2 linked regions of the Arabidopsis thaliana genome follow. The protein of the gene in region 1 interacts with the protein of each later gene in a biochemical or structural test. Each region holds a gene or a part of one and is shown on either strand. Other genes may lie near its edges. The genes, in order: AT1G06760 and PARP2.

Evidence for each region.
Region 2: of the proteins of AT1G06760 (region 1) and PARP2, one has a biochemical effect on the other in vitro, tested with the Arabidopsis thaliana proteins (one study listed by BioGRID).

Annotation. Positions count from the first base shown.
Region 1 is NC_003070.9:2,075,838-2,079,856, forward strand, and holds AT1G06760 (winged-helix DNA-binding transcription factor family protein), read right to left. Parts: upstream 1,931-4,019; 5' UTR 1,780-1,930; coding exon 1,579-1,779; intron 1,474-1,578; coding exon 850-1,473; 3' UTR 667-849; downstream 1-666. Other genes in the region: AT1G06750 (P-loop containing nucleoside triphosphate hydrolases superfamily protein), read left to right, coding at 247-513; DRIP1 (DREB2A-interacting protein 1), read right to left, coding at 3,385-3,564, 3,675-3,747, 3,880-3,930. UniProt on the Arabidopsis thaliana protein: Histones H1 are necessary for the condensation of nucleosome chains into higher-order structures.
Region 2 is NC_003075.7:1,047,852-1,054,765, forward strand, and holds PARP2 (poly(ADP-ribose) polymerase), read left to right. Parts: upstream 1-1,914; 5' UTR 1,915-2,252; coding exon 2,253-2,336; exon of another isoform or gene 2,337-2,413; coding exon 2,414-2,675; intron 2,676-2,756; coding exon 2,757-2,902; intron 2,903-2,994; coding exon 2,995-3,076; intron 3,077-3,257; coding exon 3,258-3,493; intron 3,494-3,689; coding exon 3,690-3,819; intron 3,820-4,033; coding exon 4,034-4,089; intron 4,090-4,182; coding exon 4,183-4,256; intron 4,257-4,368; coding exon 4,369-4,415; intron 4,416-4,491; coding exon 4,492-4,541; intron 4,542-4,648; coding exon 4,649-4,711; intron 4,712-4,804; coding exon 4,805-4,885; intron 4,886-4,994; coding exon 4,995-5,105; intron 5,106-5,196; coding exon 5,197-5,272; intron 5,273-5,375; coding exon 5,376-5,518; intron 5,519-5,639; coding exon 5,640-5,713; intron 5,714-5,824; coding exon 5,825-5,930; intron 5,931-6,016; coding exon 6,017-6,109; 3' UTR 6,110-6,335; downstream 6,336-6,914. Other genes in the region: AT4G02400 (U3 ribonucleoprotein (Utp) family protein), read left to right, coding at 6,392-6,658. UniProt on the Arabidopsis thaliana protein: Involved in the base excision repair (BER) pathway, by catalyzing the poly(ADP-ribosyl)ation of a limited number of acceptor proteins involved in chromatin architecture and in DNA metabolism.

The sequences.
Region 1 (4,019 bases):
TTGGAACCGATAAACTTATACTTTAACTCAATGCAACAAAGAACTTAACCGATTTGAACAAGAGAAATTTCAAACTCTCGACCAATGCCTAAGCCAAGATCCTAGACCAACTTAGAAAGCCCCAACTCACCCCTAGGCTAGTTATAGTTCTCCTGCACTAAGAGTTAACAAGAACATCTTATCAATGGTGCATAGATAATAGTAGATAAGAAAAATACTAATAGGTGAAGTGTGATTGTGAAACAGCTGATAGGTTGGAAAGAAAAGGAAAAGACATTGCTAGTAGATACAGAAGAGATAGATTGTTTGAAGCGAGTAGGAGGGTTAAACGAGAACGCAGGCTCCATTTACGAGCTCTATAGACAACCCAACCCTGCTTGTGAAGCAGGTTCAATCTGGAAAGACATTGTTCTTTCACCTTCAAGGTTTAGCATTCAACAGGAACTCAAATATTCCATTCAGAAAGTTGAAAAAAGATCTAAACAACATCTCATCAACAACACCAAAAGCTGAAAATGGTAAACATAGAAAACAAGGGCAGAGTTGACAAGGAAGAACAGAAACTTGTTCATTGTATAACTTCAATGTTGTAAAAGTTTGTTGATTGTATAATAACATCCATGTTTACTATAACTCAACAAGAACAGCACTAGCCTGACACAAATTAGCTGCAAAGAAACTCGAGTTTGCTTCATTGATGAAATCTATATATGATTTAAGGGGTAGTCCAAAGGAACTGTGAATAACAAGAACACTGAAAGAAGAAAAGCAAACAAAGTCGCATAAAGATGATTGAATTATACAAGTCTAAACTATCGTTAACCATTCTTCTACCTACAAACCCTAACTTCACTTCTTAACCCTAGAAGAAGCCCTCTTTGCTGGAGACTTAACCGTCTTTGGCTTCACAACCTTCTTAACCGGAGTCTTCTTCTTTGTGGCCACCGTAGCAACTTTCTTCGTGGCAGCAACAGCTTTCTTAGCCGGAGATGTAACCTTGGCCGTTTTGGCTGCCTTGGCTGGTCTAGCCTTAGCCTTGGGCTTCGCATCAACAGCTTTCCTCTTAGTTGCAGCAGCAGTGGCACGAGGAACGGGCTTAGCCTTAGCCTTCGCGGTCACTTTCTTAGCAGCAGCAGTCTTAGGTTTAACGGCGATTGTTTTCTTAGCCTTGGAAGCCGCAGCGACCTTTCTCTTCGCCTTGGTAACCGCCACAGTCGCCGGTTTCTTCTTCGCAGGAGCAGATTTCTCCGCTGCCGCCTTAGGGGATGATGCTTTAGCCGACGCCGATGGGAGTTTAAACGAGGCTTTGACCTTCACAAGCTTCCCAGAAGCAACGAGTCTCTTCAGATTGAGAAGCAACAGCTTTCTGAATGTTGGAGGAAGCTCCTTACGCTTCTCCTCGATGAACTTCTGAATCGCGTATTGGCTAGATCCAGTTCTCTCTTTCAACGTAACAATCGCATCCTTAATCATCTGAAATCGCATCAACAAAGAACACAAAAATCAATTTCTAAATTCCAAAATCAGAATCCGGCTTAATAAGAAACACGAATAAACGAAATCGAATCTCATTTTTACCTCTTCGTAAGTAGGATGAGATGAAACAGTTCTCTTCTTCGGAGCGGCAGCAACAGTCTTCTTCTCCTTCACTTCCTTAACATTCTTCGTCTTTCGTCCTTTCGCTGCAGGCTTCTTCTCAACGGCCGCATCCGTCACCGGCGCATCCGCAGCGGTGTTTCCTTCGATCGTAGCAGCGTTCTCTATTTCCACCTCTGACATCGTCTTCTGAACTTAAGATCGGAAAATTTGATTGCAAGAAAGCGTAAATGTAATTTCGAAAGTGATTATGAGGATTGTGAAGAGGATCATTGGAAACGTCCGATTTATATAGTTAGATGTGTATTAGACGGCAATTCATATCTGGCTTCTGATTGGTTAAAACAATGACTACGCGGATCGCTACTCTTTTCTCAGGTTTGAATATTAATCGTTGGATCAAATTTTATCGACGGCAGAGAAAGAAGGAGTGTAGATGGTGGGATGAGTAAGTTAGTGGATGTGGATTAGATGCTTTGGTCATATTTGTTGTGCTTTTAGACTCGATTCATTTGACCATAACTCGTGATATACTCGATGAAATTCGTTTTTGTTTTTTGCATTGTGTAGAAAATTCTGTGAGGGTTCGTTTGATTATCTAAACGTGAAAAATGGATTATTTTGTAATGAGATATTCGGTTATGAAGCAAGATATGTCAAAACTATTGTTTTTCTTGCTAGTATTACAGTATATTTGGTTTTTCGAATAATGCTAAAGAGAATTTCGATGAAAATTATGTTAATATGAAACTTGACTAATCAAGGAGTGAACCGAACCAATAAACGTGGGATTTCAATTACTTTTTGATCCAAAATCATTTGAATGAATACTACCTAAGATGACCATCCTCTAGAATATGTTGCACACTACTTGTTGATGTGTCATGTGTCTATGTTAAAAAGAGTCCGGATTATTCATAGATTGTGATTTACTAGTTTAAGTATGTAATCAACCAATTTTAATTGATATTAAAACACATGTATAACTTTCCTTTAGTTATGATGCATAGATTACGTTTCTTAAGAGCAACACATGTACAAGGTCATCCGAGAGGCAATCTAGTCTAGGTGCAATCTCTTCAATGATTTTTTTTTGTTTTCTTTTGGATATCGTTAAGCATCATGGCTATATGTAAAGCATGAATTAAAAAGAATCTGTTAAATTGCATACTCGTAACATTTTTTGAACATCATAACAATTTGTTATATAAATATGTTACTCATATTAAGCATGATGGTTGTCACCACATAGTGGTACTCACGATAACACAAAATAGTGATAATGAACTTCATTCGTCTTTTGTCAGATAAGTTTTATGTAGTTAATTTGGTAGTTTTCTACCTCCATATAGGTCATCACAGTTCTACTACATTCGTCATCCACAGTCAACACTTGAACAGTAATTCTTGAAAACCTTAGTTTCCATAGAAATGATGTAGTACCCAAATAAATGCATATAAATCAATCTAAAACATCTTAAACTACAACATTTGATTAGAAAGTGACAACAATGTTACATGCAAGTCCAGAGAGGACACATAGTAGAAGAAGAAGAAAGAAAAGGGAAACAAATTTTGTATTTTCTTGCACAGAAAAGCGACTCATGAGTGTATATTTCGTCTATAGAAAAAAATATTAATACTAATTTCACAACACATTCGACTGCTCCTGTAGTTCTAGTAATGTTCTCTCTTGTAATGCTTTGAGAGATTCCATAAACCGAAAAGAAAAGATTACCCTGTCTCCACAGAATCTTCTTCTGCAACAACATGAGTCTTTAAAGTCCTTTACATGTTGCACTCTGGTAGCTTCCGAGCATAGACAAGAACCATCGTAAAATCCTTTGCAGAAGAACCTACCAATGCAGCAAACCGTTGGTGGTTTGAACTTTTCTGGAGCCATAGATCCACTAAATTGTAAAGCGTCAGCGTTGGGATCACCGCTTCTCCCATACACTTTATCTCTATCTGAACATAAACCATAAGTATGTCCATTTTTTATCAACCAAACATATAAGTTCCATTATATTCAAACGTTCTATCCTTTCTCGTGCCATAGTGCATATAAAGACCCTTACCTCATTTTCACTCTCGAGATCTAGCTTCCTCATGAGGTACTTTTGGATGAAAGAAACTGTTGTATTTCCATCCCTATCACAGAATGAGACATTGGATTATCTTCCCCAACAAAAGAATTCCTCATAACAGAAAAATGAGGGACTATGTAAGATGCAGCGACAACACAGGATATATAAAACAAAGAATACCTAAACTGTAACCTACCTTATTCTCAAAAAATTTGCTGGAATTTGAGGTAAAGAAGTTCCTCCTTCCCTGTAACCAGTAAGCCCTTGTCAATATACCAAGAGAAGAGAAACAAAATGAAGAAAGAGAGAAAGATCATGAAAGGAAATAGTTTCAGA
Region 2 (6,914 bases), on another chromosome or scaffold:
TCCATCTACAATACAAAAATATGTTATAGCCTACAATAAATGATAGTATGAAAAATTAAATAGCACTATGATATTTTGAGGCGGTGGAGTTTCTATTGATTGGTTATCGATGACCACTTGCATCGTCAAATGGTTCTTTGATTCGTGGTTTCGGCCCCAGCTTCATACTATCACGAGACTCGACCATCTTGTTTTTTTCTTCTTCTTCTTGGTAAATGGTTTCACAACTTGGTTCCTCTTTCTTTCATTTTATTTTATATACTATCATAGCATTTTGGTTGGATTTCTCGAGATAGTATATTTTTTAGTTACTATCATTACATAAGTATATTTTAAAAAACTAATTATATGAATTATGTAGCTAACTAGATAGATAATCGTATAACCAATTCATGTTAGTATAGTATAGTTTAAGTATGTATTTTGGGATTACAAGTGTGGTTGGCATCAAGACAAGGATGGTGATAGCCTTTCTCTGTAATTTGGTTTAAGAAAAGTTTTTGCATTTTATGTATAAACGTGTTTTTTTTTTATAATTTAAAATTTCAACAAAAAACAATTTTTTTTAATAATGATTGACCACTATAGACAATTTAAATGATAAAAAAAACCCCCAATTTTTCACAATGTTTTGGAGATTAGTCTAGATTTTTTGTCCAAATTTTCCGATTGTAAGAATTAAGAAGCAATGAACATTTGTGTTAAGCTTAATGATTTGTACTCACAATATCTTTTAAATTTAAAATTGTTAACCAAAATATCCTATATATTGTACTTGTAATAGAAATATAAACTATTAAAAACAACACTTTATTCATATAATATAAGTTAAAACATATGTTTTTTTTAGTATGTTCTAATCACACCTATTAAAAAAAGTTGAAGCTAAATGAGCCAAAAAGAAAAATAAAGATAGGGGATGGGGACAGGCTGTAATGTTAGGCGGTTGGTATATGAACTGAGAACATGTCTGTTGGTTCGGTCCATCTACACCACTCAACCATTTGGCTATGTTTTCTTTTTGGCTTTTGCATGTTCTCTCTACTTTTCTTCTTTGGTCAAAATCTCTATCTCGTCTTTTACATGGCTTACCCGAATGTTAGTTGTCATGTAAATTTGGTTATGAAAAGATATTTTATATAAACTTTATCGTATATTAATATCGTTATCATCTAACCATTTTTTAAAACTAAACTAGAACCATCCAGTTTTACAAGAGTTTTTTTTTTTTTTTTTCTAACTAAATAATATTTGAAGTGTACAATATTAACAATATATGGGCCAAATAATAGTGGAAACCAAATCGTTAGTCCCACTTTATGATGGGCCTGTTGATTCTTATGTCTTCTTCGTAAGTTGTGATTATGCAGATTACGGGCTAATAAACATGCATGTTTAGTTTTTACTGTCCAAGTAACGAAATTTTATCTTTTGGGTTGTTGGCCCATTTCATATATTCCAAATGCCAAATCCAGCCCGGCTCGACACAGCACTGCTCGGCTCAACACTCGTATGCGGTTGGTAGCCACTTAAGACCTTGGTTTGATTAACATGTTACGAATAATTTGTGTCCCTTTTTCTTCAAGGAGACTAATCTCTTTTAATAAAAAAGAATTGTGTCATTAGTCAACACAAGTCCTATAATCCGTTTACGGTAATTTGTATGCACGTCCTTGGAAAAGTGAGTAGTGGCGTAGCATTACAGCCAAAAACTATTTGTATATTTTTCTTTTCGTTAAACAACCAGCAAAATTTTCAGAAAAATGTTCTTAAATTATAAATTAGTAGTACATTTTAAAACATAGAGATTTTTTGTTTCTTTTAATAGAAGAGTTAAACCTATGTACAAAATTTCAACTCCTTTTCAAAGTATTTGCCTGTTACTAGATTTTTAACCTTTTTTTTTTTATCTTTCATGATTTTCTATTGCTTGCCATCATCAATGGTAGGAAATAAATACTATTTTAAAAAGGTCAGGGGTGGATTTAAGAATCAATCCAAAAGTTTGGGGTCTTTTGGAGATTAAAAAGTTATATGGGAAATATCCACAAATATGAACGAGAACTTTTGTCAAAAAAATTTAAAATAATTTTTCAAAAAGCCCTAAAGCTTTCAAGGGAAGCCATCGATGAAGAAGAAAACGAAGAAGAAGACTCTTCAAATGCTCGCGCGAACTCACTTCTGACGAAAACCATACTTCCTCAGTCTCATTCCCTTTCCGACGAACTATTCTCCTGAAGAAGAAGACGAAAATGGCGAACAAGCTCAAAGTCGACGAACTCCGTTTAAAACTCGCCGAGCGTGGACTCAGTACTACTGGAGTCAAAGCCGTTCTGGTATTTCTCTGAATTGCATTGAAATACTCTTTCTATTTTGTTGATATTCGAATTTGTTTATTGGGTGTTTCGTGTAGGTGGAGAGGCTTGAAGAGGCTATCGCAGAAGACACTAAGAAGGAAGAATCAAAGAGCAAGAGGAAAAGAAATTCTTCTAATGATACTTATGAATCGAACAAATTGATTGCAATTGGCGAATTTCGTGGGATGATTGTGAAGGAATTGCGTGAGGAAGCTATTAAGAGAGGCTTAGATACAACAGGAACCAAAAAGGATCTTCTTGAGAGGCTTTGCAATGATGCTAATAACGTTTCCAATGCACCAGTCAAATCCAGTAATGGTTTGTTCAATTCTCTGGACTATTGAGAAATTTGGTAAAAATTGAGTCTTTTTAATGTTGTTATTGTCATTGTGTATTAAGGGACAGATGAAGCTGAAGATGACAACAATGGCTTTGAAGAAGAAAAGAAAGAAGAGAAAATCGTAACCGCGACAAAGAAGGGTGCAGCGGTGTTAGATCAGTGGATTCCTGATGAGATAAAGAGTCAGTACCATGTTCTACAAAGGGTGAGGATTTGGAACCTAATCTTGAGTTTTTGCATCTTATCGTGTTCATGAATGTTGTTAGAAACTGTTTCTTTTTTTGTTGAATGTTGTAGGGTGATGATGTTTATGATGCTATCTTAAATCAGACAAATGTCAGGGATAATAATAACAAGTTCTTTGTCCTACAAGTCCTAGGTCAGTCTTCCAAAACCTTCAACAATAATTTCCCTGGTTACTTTCCAAGATTAATGAGACGATACTTGTCTTGTTCGAGTACTGGAAACCTCTTGAAGCAGCTTTTGATGACTCTTTGTCATTCTTCTTGGTTCCAGATACTATCATCATTGATCTATCTTATCTATTGTGCATTGTGCAGAGTCGGATAGTAAAAAGACATACATGGTTTACACCAGATGGGGAAGAGTTGGTGTGAAAGGACAAAGTAAGCTAGATGGGCCTTATGACTCATGGGATCGTGCGATAGAGATATTTACCAATAAGTTCAATGACAAGACAAAGAATTATTGGTCTGACAGAAAGGAGTTTATCCCACATCCCAAGTCCTATACATGGCTCGAAATGGATTACGGAAAAGAGGAAAATGATTCACCGGTGAGTGTTTTGGAATCCTCACTTCTCTTTCTCTTCTTACTATTTGTTGTGTGGTATGATCCAAGGGATCTGCTGGAATGAGGTTTTTGAGTGCATATCTACTTTTCTTTTTCCCGTTTAATTGCAATTATATATTTTTTTTCTCTTCGTTCAAATGTGCACTTTACTCAGAGTTCACGATTGTTTTTTTTCTCAGGTCAATAATGATATTCCGAGTTCATCTTCCGAAGTTAAACCTGAACAATCAAAACTAGATACTCGGGTTGCCAAGTTCATCTCTCTTATATGTAATGTCAGCATGATGGCACAGCATATGATGGAAATAGGTTTGAGTCTAACTTTGATCACTTCATTCAAGTGAGAGCATCCATTGGCAGATTAACAGTGATTTTTATATGTCGATACATTATCTCTTTGTTTTGGTGTCCTATTACCTGCGTTTGTACTTCCTATCTTTTGTCCTATCCATTTGTTTGCCATTTTGCTGGTTTCTTTACTTCTTGCTGATTTTTCATACATCTTCTAAATTTGGAATTGAAGGATATAACGCTAACAAATTGCCACTCGGCAAGATAAGCAAGTCCACAATTTCAAAGGTAAAGATAGTAAACAGTCTGTTTGGTCTCATTTCCGTAAATTATAGTTTGGTGTGATTTCAGATGATATAATCTCCTCTTCCACATGTCTAGGGTTATGAAGTGCTGAAGAGAATATCGGAGGTGATTGATCGGTATGATAGAACGAGGCTTGAGGAACTGAGTGGGTATGTATCTGGTTAATTGCTAGACAATTTTTCGCATTTAGTTGATTATGTAACTGTTTCCCATAAAGAAATTAGATTTGAACTAGTCTAACTTTGTTTATCATTGATGCAGAGAGTTCTACACAGTGATACCTCATGATTTTGGTTTTAAGAAAATGAGTAAGTTCATCTGTGCTAAGGTTTACGATATATATAACTAAACATTCACTAACATCTGAATTCCGAGCTGTAACAGGCCAGTTTGTTATAGACACTCCTCAAAAGTTGAAACAGAAAATTGAAATGGTAATTTTTCCTACTGTTTCCTTACTTGACTAGTTTTGGTCTTCAGAAAAGCAATGGTTTGTCGCTACATGTTTTGTGTAGTTTTTAATATATCGTTTTTTTGTAAGGTTGAAGCATTAGGTGAGATTGAACTCGCAACAAAGTTGTTGTCCGTCGACCCGGGATTGCAGGTAATTCAGTCAGTCTATGTGGTTTGAAGGCATGAAATCACTCCGTCGTATAGTTCTCTAAGAATATGACATTATTTTTTGCAATGGCTGTAGGATGATCCTTTATATTATCACTACCAGCAACTTAATTGTGGTTTGACGCCAGTAGGAAATGATTCAGAGGAGTTCTCTATGGTAAATTTTCGGTTTTGTGAACTTTGAACAAATATCTTTGATACTCGAGCATCTCAAACATGTCTGTGTTTTAAACCTTTTGGTGTTTACTCCTTAAAACCAAAATCAGGTTGCTAATTACATGGAGAACACTCATGCAAAGACGCATTCGGGATATACGGTTGAGATTGCTCAACTATTTAGAGCTTCGAGAGCTGTTGAAGCTGATCGATTCCAACAGGTATGTTATGGTATTTCGAGCTTGTCAGTACCATACACATTATTCTGATTTCTCGTTTTTGGCATTGTGAGACTTTAATTTTTCTTGGCAGTTTTCAAGTTCGAAGAACAGGATGCTACTCTGGCACGGTTCACGTCTCACTAACTGGGCTGGTATTTTATCTCAAGGTAACATGTTACTCTTTTTCCTCTTAGTAACTACTTTTTTTCTTCTCCTCTTGGGGGATTTTCAATTGCATAGTAAAATGAACAACTATGAGACACCAAGCAGGTCTGCGAATAGCTCCTCCTGAAGCGCCTGTAACTGGTTACATGTTTGGAAAAGGGGTTTACTTTGCGGATATGTTCTCCAAGAGTGCGAACTATTGCTATGCCAACACTGGCGCTAATGATGGCGTTCTGCTCCTCTGCGAGGTATACTCGCTTCTTGTCTCTATTCATATAGAAAACAACAAAACTACTGTATAACTACAGGACCTCTATAGCCATTCAACATAACTATCCTTATGTTTCCTAACGATAAAAACTTCTCTAGGTTGCTTTGGGAGACATGAATGAACTTCTGTATTCAGATTATAACGCGGATAATCTACCCCCGGGAAAGCTAAGGTATGAAGATAATCTCATTCATATTTCACACAAGTTCCTTATCTCAAACCGCAATGAATTATGATTTACTATTTTTGTACTGTACCTTGATTTGTTATTTGATGGTTGCAGCACAAAAGGTGTGGGGAAAACAGCACCAAACCCATCAGAGGCTCAAACACTAGAAGACGGTGTTGTTGTTCCACTTGGCAAACCAGTGGAACGTTCATGCTCCAAGGTTTTTGTTTTTGTCTTGCTTCAACACACATTCACAAAATCTAACTCTCTCAAATTTCATAAACTGACTTTATATAACTTTTGCAGGGGATGTTGTTGTACAACGAATATATAGTCTACAATGTGGAACAAATCAAGATGCGTTATGTGATCCAAGTCAAATTCAACTACAAGCACTAAAACTTATGTATATTAGCTTTTGAACATCAACTAATTATCCAAAAATCAGCGTTTTATTGTATTTCTTTCAAACTCCTTCATCTCTGATTTTGCACGGTTCACTCGTATATTGGTACGCTAAACCGCAAACCATACCCAATTTTATCCGGTTTAGTTGGTATGATTGAGAAATTCTTATTCTCTGAAACTCGATTTTATTAGTATTTAAGCGAAAGAGAAGAAACCCTACGAAAATCTCAATCGGAAACTAAACGGCAAAAAAAAAAAAAAGCAGAGGCAGCCATGGGAGAAAAGAGAAAATCTACTTCGAAAACCCTAGCTAAGAACAAGAAGAGGAAAGGTCCTCATTTGCCTAATTCAATCCTGAAGACTATTGCCAATGAGAAACGTCCTTTGAACTCTGACGAAGATGACGATGAGATCGATTCCGACGATGAAAACGTCGATTTGTATGAGTATGAAGAAGGTGTGCCTGAGGAAGAGTCTAAGAAAAACAATCGCTATGACCGCGTCGATAACTACGACTACGAGCTTCCCGAGGATTTCGAGGTTTTATTCTTTCTCTTCACTAATTCTCCGCCACTGTGTGAAATTGCAAGTTTTGAACTTTAGTGATAAGAAGATAATCTACAGATTTTGGTTTTAGCTCAATTAGGGTTTTTGCTATCGGGATTCTTACGCTATAACAAATTGGTGAATCCAAAATTGAGAGTTTTTAATTGATTGATTGGTAATGAGATAGTAACTTTAGATCTGGTCTTGGCAATTGTTTTGTCCTTGTTATATGTATGTCTTATTGATAAAA